Drosophila melanogaster: one gene and its partner. The protein of the gene in region 2 interacts with the protein of the main gene of each other region in a pairwise test. Each region holds a gene or a part of one and is shown on either strand. Other genes may lie near its edges.

Region 1 (6,967 bases), on a different chromosome or scaffold from region 2:
CTACGCAGAGCTCCAGCTCATCATCACCACCAGCTGGTGGCCTCTACCCAAGTCGACTTGGTCGGTTCAAGTTCAGCGCCACTGAAGGTTCATGGCCAATTAGAGCGCGCTTATATTATCGCCCGTTTATGGAGTGGAAAACAAACACGGCGGCCCTGCAATTATTGCTGTTTAGTTAACCCCACTGTATCGCAACTACTGCACTGGCTATAAAATATAAACAAACCACCGAAGTAGCTTGCTGTAAAACTTTCCGGTTTTAGTCTAAGTGAGTAATGAGTTCGGATGGTATAGCGCTGTTTGTACTTGCTTGTCATCAATATGCACATTGCAATCAAGAGTTATCTAGTCACTTGAATAAATTATTGTGGGATAGATATGCCTCATTATTGTTAAATTGCGAATTTTATAAGAGATCGGAATAGGTTGCGTTTGTTTCAATCAATAATATTTTATAGCAAGGGATTATATGGATATGGAATATGGAAACGTTTGCCTAATTCAAGTGTAATCGCTTTAAATTTGCAATATAATATTTCTATTATAATCCTCTATAGATCTAACCTTGAATGCTGAGCGATGCGGTCGTGGCCTGGCCTTTTCTGGCTGCTGACCCTGGCGCTCCTGGCGGATGGAGGTCGTCGCGAGTCCCAGCTCCGGATCGGCAAGGCCATCAATATATTCCTGCGCTATGGCTACCTGGGAATCTCCATGCGTGTGATACCGCTCAATGACAACTCGGAGCCGGATCGCTGGGTGTTTAAGGAGCCCACCAAAAACATCTATAGGGTAAGGGACTTAAGGCAGAGTTAAGCTTACATTTAATAAATTAAATGGCGTTGATGAACTCGGAATTGTTTGTATTAACCTTTAACCACAATCACCATAATTATTTGGAGTATAATCAAAATTTTAAAATAGGGTTTAAAGTTGTTATCACTTAAAACTATTTTTAGTTGTAATTATATTGTTCACTTCCGCCACGTTTGTCGTTAGAATGAGCGCTTATTATATTTGTTTGATCAGATTTAGGAAAACGATCATTATATACGATTATTCAAGTATGTCACTTGATATTTATTACCTGATAATTGAGCTGACTAGACAATTAGATAATTAATGATTTTTTTCTTTCAGAATCTGAGTGGCCTGGCGGAGAGTCATGAAGACACCACGCCCGGAATCTTTCATGGAGACTTTCACATGGAGTTCTGCGAGAATCGGAGGCAACTGTTCCAGGCCTACTTCCGTGACTTTTCCATTGAGCGAATGGACAAACCGTGGGAGGCATTTACTGGCGGATGGTTTCCGGATAATGCGGCCAAGAAGCTGGGCATCAATACATCTTTCATCCAAGGCGATTACTCGTATGTTTTGGTGAGGGTGGTGCGCTTCAGGGAAACGGGGCGTCTTAACGCTGAGATTCCGGTGCACCAACCCTTGGAGCCGGATGTGCGATCGAGAATGGATCAACTGCAAATCGGAAATATAACTTCCGCAGTGCGATTTATGGAAGATGTGGGCACCCACTACGTAAACTCATACACCACCGGCAATTCGCTGTATCAGGTGTTTGTGTACAGCAGGAAGAACTACAGCATGATCAAGGAGCGAATCAAGAGTAAAGGTCTGAACGGACTGTCCAAGTTGGATCTTTACAACTACTTTGCGCCCTGGTTTGCCGCCCATCTGGGCCAGATTCGATCGGCTAGTGCCAATGCTACAGTGGAAAGATGGGCGAGAAGGAAGCTGCAGTACGAGTACTATGTGGTCAAGTATGTGACCCTGCTGAAACTGCACGGTAATAGTACTCTACTGCGATCCCTGGACTCGCTGCTCGGCAACGATGCCATACTGCAGTTGGACCTCAAGTCGCTGAAGCCCATCTTCCGGGAGGAGCCGGAAAAGGAGAGCTGGTACCACGAGGTTCTCGACAACAATGTGAAGCTCTGGGAGCTTAACATGCCGCAGAGTCATCCCACCCGATAGCTGCATTTTAAATATATATATACTGTGCGATATGTGGCAGCCAAGGATCAATAGTTCCTAGATGCTTAGTTGTAGTTAGGAACCTCTAGTGCGTAGTTAATGTTCTGCCTGTGATAGTTTTAGGTAGTTTAATTGGAACACAGTACACATCCGACTTGCATTTCAGCTAACTAGACCGTAAGATCGCCTTATTGATGTAATAGTTTTGTAAACTTTAATACAAAGTAAAGATAAAAGTAAAAATCTTACTGTTTTCATAACTTGATATTGGCTATTAAAATCTAACTGTTTTCATTACGTAATATTGGCTATGAATATCAAATACTATTTTGAAAGTTTATTTTGAATAATTGATTTTGATTAAGAACCGGTAATCGAAACGGGTAAACGGCTCTACCCGTTTCATCAAGGCTTTCAACCAGACTTATTCTAGTTTTCCACCCTTACGTATTTAGTATATGAATCAAGTATATTTTTAATACCGTGTGGTATATTTCAAACGGTTCAGTTACGCTCATACTGAAATCCGAAATAGCACGTGCGGTTTTTGTATTTTGATTTTGATTTTGGGTGATATATACTGGCATGGATATTTTTTCCAATTGTCCGGGCTTTTGCCCCTCCTGCGGCTCCATTCTGCCCGAGCTTCAAGTCAAGGGCAATGTGATTTGCTACAACTGCAAGAAGGAGTTTCAGCCAGATGGTAAATCCAGAAATTACAACTTTGTTTAATTTATTTAACACTTAAAAATAGTTTACAGCGGCGAGAAGTCCGAGTTTACCATACACTTCAACACCTACGATCCCAGCAAGGTGTTCAACAGGACGAAAAGGGAGTCGGAATCGGACGCGGATGGCCCCGTTGTGGAGAGGAAGTGTCCCAAGTGCAACCACGACAAGATGTCCTATGCCACCCTGCAGCTTCGATCGGCGGACGAAGGCCAGACGGTGTTCTTTACCTGCCTTAAGTGCAAGTAGGTGTCCTGATAAACATATTCCTTCACTTCCACAACTAATCACACACATTCTACCTTGCAGATTCAAAGAATCCGAAAACTCTTAGTTGCTAGCAATGTCCGTGTAAATAGTCCTAGATTAATGAAAATAATCATGCTCGACGGCCTGAGAAATATAGAATTTACCAATTATAATACCTAACCGGTGTCAAACTTGAAGCAGAACCCACCTCGCTGGCCTTGAGTCGGTTTTTGGGATTGTAGACCACCAGATTCGAGACCAGATTGATTTCCACCGCATGTGTGCAGCTGGGAAACAAGTTGTCCCAGTGAATGCCCACGGAGTTGGGAAACCTACGTCAAGAATATTACGGATTAAGTAATCATAGACGGTAAGAATGCCTACCGTATCTTGCTGTAATCCGGCAGAGAAGTCAGCTCTGGCCACTGATTCAGACGTGGGCTGCCCAGAGTGCGAATGATGATGGCTAATTGCTCGATGTCGGTGGTTCCCGCAAACAGGGGCACTCCGCGTAGCATCTCCGCCACAACACAACCTGGATAGCAATAATGTCAGCCATAAGGATATATGTAAACCCATCAAAGAGTCATGGCTAACCTGCCGCCCACATATCCACTCCGGTTCCATACTTCTGGCTGCCAAATAGAATCTCTGGCGCTCGATACCACCGGGTTGAGACCTGAGGCGAATAAAGGCGCGACTCGTCTTCAGGGAAGTACAGACGGGCCAGTCCGAAATCGGCAATCTTAAGCATATCTGTATCGCTGATAAGCAGATTGGCGGGTTTAATATCCCGGTGCATGAGACCCGCTTCATGCAGATATGCAATCCCCTTGAACATTTGGTGTGCAAACTTACGCACCTGCTGGCGGCTCAGGGGATTAACCTCGCTCTTGAGGCGGTTGTACAGAGTGTCCGGCTGGTATTCCAGCACCAAGGAGAGACCAGTTAGGTCAGGATATATATCAATGATGTCCAGAATCTACAATTAGTTACATAATTAACAAATGGAAAATAGATATATGGTATACCTACATATTCAGACTTGCAAAGCTGCAGGGTCTTGATTTCCCTCAAAGTATTTAGGGCTATGTTTCCGAACTTGTTCTTAAGGGCCACCTTCTTGATGGCCACCTCCTTGTTGCGCTGCAGATCGATGGCCTTAAACACGCAGCCATGGACGCCTTCGCCGATTTTCTCAAGCATTTTATAGCGGCTGGGCGCATAGTCCTCCATTATGGTTACTCACAATTTTCAATTTGGTAATTTTCCGAGCAGTTATCTACTTCGTTTTTCGACCCCAGTAGTCCATGGCAACGGGCACAACAATTGCCGGAGTACCAGCTGATGGGACCACCTGTTGCAGGATGTTTACAAGCGCAGTGGGTTTATGGTAATTACGGGGGTTGGAAAGCCTAGGCCAAGGCGGAGCAGTGACAGCTTTCGGTTTAAGGACATGCGCACTTCCTGCCTCGAATTCCTCCTGTCAGACAAATGTCAAGTCAGGGGGATACATAATTTTTCGGACCCTCGCACTGCAAAAGTTCTTCGTTGGCTGAGATTTGATGTAAAATAAGTGTTTCAAATGGCATCGGTAGTGAAATAAAAGCCAGTTCTGGGACTAAGCAAGCTGGTAGGTTCCTAAAAACATGTACACATAAGATTTAAGAGGATGCAACACCTGGAAGATACTCCTTCGCGTTAACGAGCATACTAAATAATGCACGAATCCTTTAGATCATTAAATTGCTTTATAATTACTAAACGTGCCAGCATTGCTGCAGCAATTTGAAGCAATTTTGCTGGCCTGGACTGGCCTTAGCCTTGCTCCACCTGTCCTGTAAAATTGCATGCGAGTGCCAGCAAACACAGGTAGAACGTAGAAAATAATACACACCCACTGGGCGCAGCCTTGCCTCGGCAGCCTTGGCTCACCCGAAACCAACCACTGCCATTCACCACCCACAACTTGGCTCCAAGTTCACGTCCTCGATATGCGCTATTCACATTTAGAATCGTTTTACAGCCCACGCGGTCAACATGTTCCGGCCAAGTTGGTTTCCATTCGCCAGCCTGCTGTTCCTGCTCCTTTGGAGCACCGCCTGTGGCAGGACAGCCAAGAGATCGGACGTCTACATAGCGGGATTCTTCCCGTACGGGGATGGCGTGGAAAACTCCTACACCGGTCGGGGCGTTATGCCCAGTGTAAAGCTCGCCTTGGGTCACGTTAATGAGCATGGAAAGATACTGGCCAACTACAGGCTGCACATGTGGTGGAACGACACTCAGGTGAGTTAGGGTTTAGCTTGAAGATTTCATTAAGTGAATCTCTGATGATGGACTTGTGGTTTTTAAAGTTCAATTAGGTATTTTTTTTAATGTTCATTGGTTCATATTGTAATATCACACCTTTACCTATGCATATTTCCATATATTCTGGAATGTAATTTTGGTTTCCTTTCCAGTGCAATGCTGCTGTGGGCGTAAAGTCCTTCTTCGATATGATGCATTCGGGTCCCAATAAAGTGATGCTCTTCGGCGCTGCGTGCACCCATGTGACCGATCCCATAGCCAAGGCCAGCAAGCACTGGCACCTCACCCAGCTCAGCTACGCGGACACCCATCCCATGTTCACCAAGGATGCGTTTCCGAATTTCTTTCGCGTGGTACCCTCGGAGAATGCCTTTAATGCGCCGCGACTGGCCTTGCTGAAGGAGTTCAATTGGACCAGAGTGGGCACTGTCTACCAGAATGAGCCACGCTATTCGCTGCCCCACAATCACATGGTGGCTGACCTGGATGCCATGGAGGTCGAGGTGGTGGAAACGCAGAGCTTCGTCAACGATGTGGCTGAATCATTGAAGAAACTGCGCGAGAAGGACGTGAGGATCATTCTGGGCAACTTTAACGAGCACTTTGCACGCAAGGCATTCTGTGAGGCTTATAAGTGAGTTGGATATACTAACTTAAGTCTCAATTTAAAATTATTGCAATAAACTCCCTTCCAGATTGGATATGTATGGCAGAGCCTATCAATGGCTGATCATGGCTACCTATTCCACGGATTGGTGGAATGTCACGCAGGACAGCGAGTGCAGTGTGGAGGAGATCGCTACAGCCTTGGAAGGTGCCATTCTAGTGGATCTTTTGCCCTTGTCCACCAGTGGTGACATCACAGTGGCTGGCATTGTTAGTACCAGTAAAGTCTATTAAAATTCTTGTAATAAATTTCATATTTTACTAGACTGCTGATGAGTATCTTGTGGAGTACGACAGACTGCGAGGCACTGAATATTCCCGCTTTCATGGCTATACCTACGATGGTATCTGGGCAGCTGCCCTGGCCATTCAGTATGTGGCCGAAAAGCGAGAGGATCTGCTAACACATTTTGATTATCGCGTGAAGGACTGGGAGAGTGTCTTCCTTGAGGCTCTACGTAATACATCCTTCGAGGGTGTGACGGTAGATAGATAAACAATCCAGTTTTTGCAGTTAAAACATATTTTACATTCTCAAGGGACCCGTGCGTTTCTACAACAACGAGCGCAAGGCCAACATCCTGATCAATCAGTTTCAGCTGGGACAAATGGAAAAGATCGGGGAATACCACTCACAGAAGTCACACTTGGATTTAAGCTTGGGAAAACCAGTCAAATGGGTGGGGAAAACTCCTCCCAAGGATCGCACTTTGATCTACATCGAGCACAGTCAGGTCAATCCAACCATATATATTGTATCGGCTAGTGCTTCGGTCATTGGAGTGATTATTGCCACAGTTTTTCTGGCCTTTAACATTAAGTATCGCAATCAAAGGTGAGCTTAACAATGCTATATTAAACAATTTCGTTTAATAAAATATTGATGTTTTTATAGATACATCAAGATGTCCAGTCCCCATTTGAACAATCTGATCATTGTGGGCTGTATGATGACCTATTTGAGCATCATTTTCCTGGGTCTCGATACCACATTAAGTAGTGTGGCAGCTTTTCCCTATAT
Region 2 (9,634 bases):
TAAGAACACTTCTGGTCCCCTGCCCGAAATCATCCATCAGTTCCGAGTGCCCGATAAGCGCCCGCCCCGCATTGTTTCTGATATCTTCACCGGACTGTGCATAACCCCGCTTGTGCTGCTTTTCGTTTTTTGGGGAAAACTGGGCATCAATGTATCTAACCTGACGCTGGCACCGAGTACGATCGGGTTTCATCTGGGTTTCGGTGGCATTCTGGTGCTGTTCTTCGTGTTCTGGCTGCAGCTTAACATGTTCCAGACACTGCGCCTGCTGATTCCCATCGCAGTATTCACATTCCTGGCTGGCAACCGATTACTGAGACGTCTTTACGCACAACGTAACTCGAAGGCAAGTGCGTCGTAAGTGCGTTCATCATTGTACGAAGTCAATAAGTGAGCTACTCTCTATCTTGCAACACCATCAGAAAACAAACTTTAATAAAGCGATTTAGTTAAGCCCAAACACACACTAAATACTGCCTTTAAATATAGTTGAATATTTTATTTGTGTATAATTTTACAGCCTAGTTTCAACTGCACAAGCCCTGACATCATAATTGTCTTAAAGACCATTTGCTAAGCAGACAGTTGTATAATACAAAAACAATGGAAACAAATGTATATTTACAATAATAACACTTGTGAAAATCTTCCAGAGCAATAGGATATGAATCTAGAGGTGAGCCTTCATGAATGGCTTCAAGTACTTGTGGAATGCTCCGTTGACTGGCTCCTTGTTCAACGGGTTCTTCTTCGTAGACTCGAAGATGTGTTCGTAAACATTTCCATCATAGGCACCCAATGCGGAATCTAGCACGCGATCGTGAAGATCAAAGCTGTCCACCAAGCTGACGGCATTCGGCCGGAATCGTTTTAAGCAGTTCTCCAGGCGAACCTCCAGTTTCGTGACATCTTGATCAGTGAGATCAATGAACTGTTGAAAGTTACATATAACATTAAATATTCTTAACTAATATCAATTTAAAATCGTACCCGCAAGAAGTCGCCAATGCGGTTGAGGCAGGCGTCTACCAGATACAGCTCCAGCACCACCTTTAGGACTTCAGCTAGTTCTGGGGACACCTCGCGCGACAAGGCCAAAAGCTCCGTATAGGCAGTCTGCGCTAGGAAGGCGCGTCCATGAAGCTACAAGTGGTACAAAATTATATAGGATACTGAGTGAATAACAGATATTTCATTACGACTTACATCTGCAGCTGCTGTTAGGAAGGTGCCACATAGATTAGCTGCCACCTCGGTACCATAACCTTGCTTGCGGCGCAGTTCAATCTGCTCATAGGCAATTCGGGTTTTGCTGATATAAAAATATGAATTTAAATACTTGGTACTTCTACCTTTTTTTCTTTAGTAAATACTTACTTGGCGGCAACGAATTGGAAAGCCTTGACAATAGACCTCAATGATCCGTCAAAGTTAACAAACTTGGTTTGGTTTATTGCATCACTGATGTACGAAACCGTTGGCACCAGCTTCTCTCCATTCAAGGCCTGCCCATAAACCTTCACCAAATAGCGAGCAGTCTGCAGCAGCATCACTGTGTTCTCGCCCTCATAGGTGCAAACGGCCGTGGTCATGCCGTATATCGTGGGGAAGTTGGAGCAGTCCATGTAGCCATGTCCGCCACATGACAGACGACACGTTTCCACGCCGGCGGCGGCATCGGCACTACAGATGGCCTTAAGGCAGCAGGACAATGCATGCATTTCGGGCAGGCGATCCAAGTTACCCTGCTCAATCTCGCCAGATATCACGTTGTACATATTCCAGATGCCATCACCCGTCGTTTTGAAAACGATGGCTTTAGCTATCTGGGGGAACAACTTCAACTGCTGCGTGGTATGGTCCATGATTTGGGGCTCCGGTTGATTGGGATCAATGGGACTCTGTCGGCGAACAGCTGAATACCTAGTGGCAATAGTGGATGCCTTTGCCAGGCTCTGAGCGGTATCACGGATAAGAGCACAACGCACAAACATCTTGAATGAAAAAATGGTTAAAATCTCTGTGAAGATATAGTGAATATGTGTAATAGTACCATAGTTCCGTAGGTAAGCACGCTATTCTTCGGCGCCACATATGTGCCATCGGGCAGCACTTGCTGGTTCTTCATCAGCATGTTGTTTAAAGGCACCCGTACGTTCTTCAGTCCCAAATAGCCATTGTTGACACCCTTCATGCCCAGCTTGGTACCAATATCTCCAATGTCGATGCCGGGCATGGGACGGTGAGTATCGGAATCCCTCAATTGGACAATAAAAGGAGCCAGACCACGGAACTCGCCCTTGGTGTAGAGTTGTGCCACCACAACCGCATGGTTAGCAGTGTGTCCCACTGCAAGTCCCAGATTTTATAACAATTTCAAAATATTAAGTGTTCAAGAAAACTCACATCCACCGGGCCACCACTTGTATGCACTGAGTGATGGAGTGTTTATAACAAACTCCTGGGTGCTGGCATCGTAGTCAGCCCTGGTCTCCAGACCGCGCAGGAAGGTTCCGTGTCCCAGTTCCGTTTGGGCATAGGTGCCAATGATTTCACAGTCCCAGGCCTTGCTCAGCCATTCCACCTGCTGATCCATCGTTCCCTGGCCCATGATGGTGGGCACGAACATCACGTAGTGCAGCGCAAGCGGATTGCCCTCCTTTAGAATAGCCGATCCCAAGGATCCACCAAGCAGAGCACTATAAGCACACAAATTACAACCTGAAGTACATTAAATATAAGGATTTCTTTACTTGTAAGTATCCACTCCATCCTCGCCATCAGCACGTAGCTTGCGGATCTTCTCTCCTATGATGCAGGCTTTGCGCAAGCTGTGCTCATAGAGCTCCTTGTGTGACAAATAGGAAATGGGCAAGTCGTCCTGAAGGGCTGGATCCTCCAAAAACAATTTCTCTGGAAAAATCATAAACGAAATTTAATGTAAATGAAGCCATAAGGAAAGGGATTTAATATTTTAGGAGGTGTCATTTAGATAAGCATTGTTGAATTTTGCAGCGTAATCATGAGTGGAAAGTATTCTTCGTTAATTCGCGGGAGTTACTGGGCATTGTCCATTTATGATGCCCTGAGCGACCGTGCAAATCTGTCAGATAAACCTATCAGCTAAACTAATTTCAAGTGGACCTGGAAATAGATGGTGGGTAGCTGCAAACATTCAAAGTACACAAGTAGTCGGATTGATCGCGATTCGCGCGAAGTTCAAAGATTAATAACTTATGAGCTGGCTAATAGGTGCTGATTAACTAGTAGCGGCTTGTTTATGCGGAATACATAATTAATGAACTTTGGGCCACGGCGTGCAGCAAAATCAACAAATCGCATGAATGAATGGACGGAGAAGAAGCGTATCAAAACAAAGAAGTTGACAGGATGTTTTGGATAATTTATCAGTGGCTGACATGGCTAGCATCAGAGTTTGTACCCTACAGATTAGCTATAAATGCGTTAAAGCCTAGCTTAATTGCCAAGTCATGCTTTTGGCACAATTTCTTGCATCCACTGTTGGGAAACGCGATTGCGCCAAGCTCAGATAAAGCTCTGAGCGACCGGTTAATGTGAATGTACATGTAGGTCTGTCGGGGTCACCGGAGAAGCTTGAAATCCGGTGTTTTTCCCTTCTAAGCTAACTCACCCAGGGCCTTCTTCTCCTTGAATCGCTCCTCGCCGCCGGCCCACAGAACGGAGAACTCCCGGGGATTGAAGGTGGCCGTGCTGCGTTCCTTCTGGAGATCGGGATTCACTGGTTTGGCTGGCATTTTGCTATGCGGCACAGTATTCAAGTCACGTAAACAGGTTATGGATTAACGAGCCACCGCAAAGCGTCCGTCTTCGTTGAATATCGCGTACTGACTGATTGTTGCTGGAAAGGCGAATTGCGCTCAGTGGTCAGTCAGTCGGTCACTCAAGTGCTGGTGGAGGAAATCCAGTGGAGGAGATTGAGATTATGGACTGCTGATCTGATCCAGCTATTCCGAATCTAATCATCGATGCCAGCTCTCGAACGACGTGAACTTTAACCGCGAAAATACACATGTAATAAGTTCGCTTTTGTGTTGAAATAGTCTGTAGCACAACCATTATTCTCACGCCATTGTTGTTGGGCTACATTTATGAGTAAATACACAAAATAAATACACTGCATGTAAAAAGTACTTGGGCGTTTTCTTTCAGTTTGTTTCTAATTTAAATAAGATTGCTTTCATAAGCTTCTTTGTTCGTATAATTTGTTTGCAAGTGAATAATGCAAATTCACTACATCTTTCTGCATAAATAACATCTTTAAAATGTCTCAAATTAGCCGTTTTAAAAAAAGTAGGGTATTTGAATTCCGCCTTAATTAATAGATTAATTTTGTTTTTAGCAGCTCTTTGTTTGTATTGTGACGAAATCAGCTGTTGAACAGGGCTGCAAAATACAAACAAGTACGGCAGCACTCGACAACTCCAGGGATACAGTCACCATAATCTTGGCGCCAATTCAAAAAAATTCAAAAATTCCAATTTTATTAAAAACATAGATATATTTGCTAGCTAAATGATCATGAGGTAACACCAATCTTTGGCCTTATAGCATAGGTTCAGGCTTGCACATACGGAAACACGTAAAATTAAATCACGATTTAATACACTTACTAGGTGGTAAATTCATTTGGCTTAGGTCAGAACATTATTTATAATATCCGCTTAAATGCCATGGGCATGGCTAGTGGCTATAGCTATGCCCCGCTGATGCTGCCCCATTCCAGAGTCATAGGAACAGCTGGCCGCTGGCTCCATTTGATGCACTTCCGCCGGATACCAGTGACTGTGAGATTCCGGCAACTGATGGTAACTTAGATCCGCCGAAACATGGGTTTCGCCTCGCGTAGTCTTCGGATAAGATTGCGTATGCAGGGTTTGCCAATCCATACGGGCGGATGAGGTGGTTGATGATGATGGGGCAAATGCCAAACTCCGGCTACTCTGGTGGAACTCAAAGGGCCAGCTCTGCAAGACAGTATAATGTGGAATGTGTGGATAAAACAGGCATAAATCATAGGAGTTGTGGAAACCGCAGGGGCTATATATGGAACAATATGACGACAACCCATCCCGAGACAGCGCCATTGTTTGTTTACGCAACTTTGATTGTTTTTAGTGCCCACCCCCGCCTCCACGTCTAGATCTACAATAACAGCCTCATTAACGGATCTATAAAAACATAAACAGCCAAACACTTGCGGACAAGAGACACTCATTTGTATGCCATACAATGAGGGATTGGAAATGGGATATAGGGATGCTAGGGCTAGCGAGCAAATAGCGAACCAATGGGTTGTTCCCAACAGATCATCTTGGGCGCGTGGATGGTATAAATTCGGATAGGGTCGGGACTCTCCGATCCGATCTGATTTGCCACCATATGGGCACAAGACGGAGCCGTATTTGCTGAATTTTTCACGCATTCGGTGTGTAAACAATTGCATCTATTTAGATAAGTTGTGCACGCCATGAATCTTGAGTGATAGATTGTGTAAACTCCAGCGGGAATGGCTGATGGATAAACACGGTTAGACAAATTTTAATTACAATAATCCGAGTGGGAAAACTACTGAGGATGACACTTTCCCTCGCATGTCATTCACTGTGTCGCTTCAAAGCATCAAGAGCATCTTTAAAAATAAAAAATAAAAGCAAAGACTAACTAGTGCCCCCCATCCAGATCCGCAGGTCTGCGTTACCATCTCCGTTCCCTGCCCGCTCCACCAACAGCCTGTCACTCATATTTAATATTTTCGAAATTCACAAAAGTATCGGATTACAGGAAAGCAAGGCAGTCTGAAATCACAAAATGTGATTTCGGTGTTCTAGTGGGGGGCCCGGCTGAATGGCTGACTCCGGTCATGGGATGTGGATGTGGTTACGTTTGTGGTTCACCTCCACATCTAGAAAAGGTGGAAATACTTGTCGCCGCATCGCGTCCGCATCACCAAGCAGATGTTGCACCACATTCCTTTGGATTTTTGATCTATATTTCGCTAAAATTGCGTTGAATTACCCCTATAAGTTGAGTAGTATTACTAAATACTTAAGTTGCTTGTTAAAAAAAAAATGAGAATAATAGATTGCGTATACGTTTAAATTGTAATAGTATCAATTTTTTAAATTTTAAACACTGAAGCCTGGGTTTCCGTGTAACTTTCCACGATCTCTAAGTTAAAATTCTACGAAAGGCTAATTTCAACTAGCAAAATTTACAAATATCTACCTACTTTATTTCCTTAATGGCTTTTCAAAGAAAACGCATAAAAGAAAAATTTTCATTCCCAATACCAAACTTTCCATAAAAAGACATAAACTTATGGGAATCCCGATCGGCTGAACATTACTTCTCAATTAGACTGAAATCCATGAATAAACATTGATCTTGGGCATATCACTGGGCATCCCCTGCGACACCTGTCATTAACTGACGAGATCCACCTGAAGTGGCCGGCTCATTAATGCGTTCCCGTTCCCCCGAGCCGCGGGTGCAGTGCATCGTTAAGTGGTGGCAGTGACATCACTTATATTCGGGCAGGGGGATCGCAATTGCATGACACTTACCATGCCGTGTCCGTTGTTGTGGAAATTATAATTGCCTCCACCGGACGAATCTGCCATGTGACTTGTGTCCAGGCCTTCGGAACTGGTGGTACTCGAGTGACTGTGGTTGAGGCTGTGGTGCTGGTTGTGGTTGTGCGGGTGGTTCTGCGAGTGGCTGCCTGTCTCCACAGCCGTAATTAGCTGCTTGATGTAGAGCGTGGCCAAACGCAACGTGTCCAACTTGGAGAGCTTCGTGTCCGGCGGAATGTTGGGCAGCTTGGTCTTCAAACGTCCGTAGGCGCTGGATAAAACCCGCATACGCATCCGCTCCCGGGCATTTGCCGCATTTCGCTGCACCGGCGGTTGGGAGCCTGGAAAATCAGAAATGTAGATACATCTTAAGGAGCTCCAATAACAAGAGATTAATTAGAAACAAAAGGTTTTATTGGTATCCACAAAAGTTTTAAGTTACATTATAGATATCTTCGCAAAGTATGAAGTTCAAAAAGCATATGGAGTATGAATTTTAAACTCAATTTATATCTATTGTGCTTTCTGTTATTATAATTTTTATCATTATTATTATATTTTCATTTAGAGCTTAACGCATTTTAAATTAACATTCCTTTTAAGGTAAATTCTAAAGTTCGATTTAAAAAATTCTAAGGAAATTGAATTTTACTTTAAAGTAAATAATAAATTTACAAAACTAGCTAAACATATTTACATTGTCAACGTTTTTAAGCGTTTATAATACATCTTTTTAATATAAGTACAAAATCACCTATAAATTGAAATCGAACTCACTTTGAGAACTGGCATCCTCATCGAAGTCGTCATCAAAGAACTCCGTGGGGCTGGAACTGCGCTTCTTGCGTGGCATTGTTCAAAAACAAGTTGGTGGTATCACAAGAATCACTTCGAATATTTTCAAATTGGATATAAAATTCCAATCACTCAGTTTTCTCACTTAAAATCGAAACGCACCGAACCGAAACCAATCTGTGAGTCGAATACGTCCGATCTGCGTGGCACGTAGAGCACTTCTGTCACGGGTTACGGGGAGATCCTCCTTTTTGAGCATTCTGCTCCGCAGTTTGCAGCTCTCCAGATTCCGTCTATTTCTGGCACCTCTGGTGGGCGTGCCTGCTCCGCAAACAGTCCCAATTGGCGGAGGAATCCGGACACATGGTGCGATCGGCGGTCTCTTTCTCGGTTGTTTGCCTTCTGGCTGCCACCACATTGGCCACACAGTGTTCCTCCGTCGGTCTGCGGGAAAATTCAAAATGAAACGCTCGGTTTATCCGGTTCACTACGGGCGTTGGAGTGGGGATGTTGTGCCGTAAGGATGTGCGACGGGCGAGTGCGAAGCGTGCCAAGACTCCGGCTCCAGATGGCACCACCTGGTATTCGATCTCGCAGTGCATTTGGAGATAGGCATTAATGGCAGATCGGAAGAGATTATAATCCTGGGGTTCAACTGCGTATCCTGTTTGGGGTCGCCGCGATGGTTGGCATTTGAGTATGGGTCCAAAATTTCATTGCTTATGTGGGGAGTTTTAAGTTCCGAGAACGATTTTGACTTTTCAAATTTTCTGCGGGAAATGAAAATACTCGAAAATATATGTACATATATGTAGGCAACACTTTGTTTAATCTATAGAATTTACGTTTTCTTTAAGTGCTTTTAAAAGAAAAGCAAGAGTTTAATAAATCTATTTATATGAATGGATTAATTGAAACCACAACATATTAGCAAGAAGCATCTGTTAAACCGCATCTTTATTGAAACTAAAAATTTGCTCAGATTAAATTGTTTTTTGACCTACGTAGCTGCTAACTAATTTTACTACTTGCCACGCCTCCGAACCCAGATAAGAAACGTGCTGTGACCCTAAAACGTGGCCTTGATTAGGGCCTCCAGTCATGGATGGAACGTCACTGGCACAGCAGGTTTATCAGGATGCTGAACCATGGGTTATCCGATCAATTCAGCGGGAGATTATTATGGCGGTATTGTGTTTTTAACTCGAGAATTCAGTTGAGATTCTAAAGTCGTCGCGCTCGGCCGTTTTTGAGATGTGGCGCCATCGCATCCTGCAGCAAGCTTCGCGCCGTGGAATCAGCAAACAAGTGAGGGAAGATGGAGGAGCTCGAAGGGAACCAAGTGGATTCCTGCCAGGCGCAGCAGATGTTGTGGTTATTGGCGGTGGTTCGGCGGGCTGTCACACACTGTATCACCTGGCACGACGTGGTGTCAAGGCCGTGCTCCTGGAACGCGCCCAACTTACGGCCGGAACCACCTGGCACACGGCTGGATTGCTGTGGCGCCTGCGTCCCAACGATGTGGATATTCAGCTGCTGGCTAATTCACGTCGCATGCTGCAGCAATTGGAGGAGGAAACGGAGCTGGATCCGGGATGGATTCAAAATGGTGGCATCTTCATTGCTCACAATGAAACGCGACTGGACGAGTATCGCAGACTGGCCACTGTGGGCTCAGCTTTGGGTATTGAAAACCAAGTGCTGAGTCCGGAGGACACCCAAAAGTTATTTCCCCTCCTCGATCCGTCGGCATTTGTGGGCGCTCTCTATTCTCCGGGTGATGGTGTCATGGATCCGGCGATGCTGTGTGCGGCCCTCAAAAAGGCAGCCACTAATCTCGGAGCACAGGTAATCGAGAATTGCGGAGTGGATGATCTACTGCTGGAGCAGACTGCGAGGGGTAAGAAGGTGGTGGGTGTTTCCACGCCTTTCGGGGACATCAAAGCTGAGAAGGTAGTGAATGCTACAGGAGTGTGGGGTCGTGATTTGGTGGCCCGGCACGGCACCCATCTTCCCCTTGTGCCCATGAAGCATGCTTATATTGTTTCTGAATCCATTCCGGGTGTTAGAGGTCTACCCAATATCAGAGATCACGATTACTCCACCTACTTCCGCATCCAAGGGGATGCCATCTGCATGGGTGGCTATGAACCGAATCCCATTCTGCTGGAGCCCGTGCCCAAGGACTTCCATTTCGGACTCTACGAACTGGATTGGTCGGTGTT

Evidence for each region. The genes of interacting proteins can lie anywhere in the genome.
Region 1: the proteins of ACOX1 (region 2) and CG6800 interact in a two-hybrid assay, tested with the Drosophila melanogaster proteins (one large-scale study listed by BioGRID).

What each region holds. Positions count from the first base shown.
Region 1 is NT_033777.3:21,773,374-21,780,340, reverse strand, and holds CG6800 (uncharacterized protein), read right to left. Parts: upstream 4,204-6,967; coding exon 4,003-4,203; intron 3,950-4,002; coding exon 3,565-3,949; intron 3,503-3,564; coding exon 3,352-3,502; intron 3,300-3,351; coding exon 3,128-3,299; downstream 1-3,127. Other genes in the region: tsl (torso-like), read left to right, coding at 580-789, 1,138-1,989; Polr1H (RNA polymerase I subunit H), read left to right, coding at 2,575-2,692, 2,744-2,963, 3,028-3,052; GABA-B-R2 (metabotropic GABA-B receptor subtype 2), read left to right, coding at 5,008-5,256, 5,433-5,914, 5,976-6,156, 6,212-6,430, 6,486-6,781, 6,842-6,967.
Region 2 is NT_033778.4:17,755,408-17,765,041, reverse strand, and holds ACOX1 (acyl-CoA oxidase 1), read right to left. Parts: upstream 4,103-9,634; 5' UTR 3,777-4,102; coding exon 3,653-3,776; intron 2,914-3,652; coding exon 2,754-2,913; intron 2,700-2,753; coding exon 2,407-2,699; intron 2,350-2,406; coding exon 2,054-2,349; intron 1,995-2,053; coding exon 1,378-1,994; intron 1,313-1,377; coding exon 1,207-1,312; intron 1,144-1,206; coding exon 991-1,143; intron 932-990; coding exon 671-931; 3' UTR 501-670; downstream 1-500. Other genes in the region: OstDelta (oligosaccharide transferase delta subunit), read left to right, coding at 1-361; HLH54F, read right to left, coding at 4,704-5,006, 6,606-6,955, 7,392-7,467; Sardh (sarcosine dehydrogenase), read left to right, coding at 8,664-9,634. UniProt on the Drosophila melanogaster protein: Catalyzes the desaturation of acyl-CoAs to 2-trans-enoyl-CoAs. First enzyme of the fatty acid beta-oxidation pathway.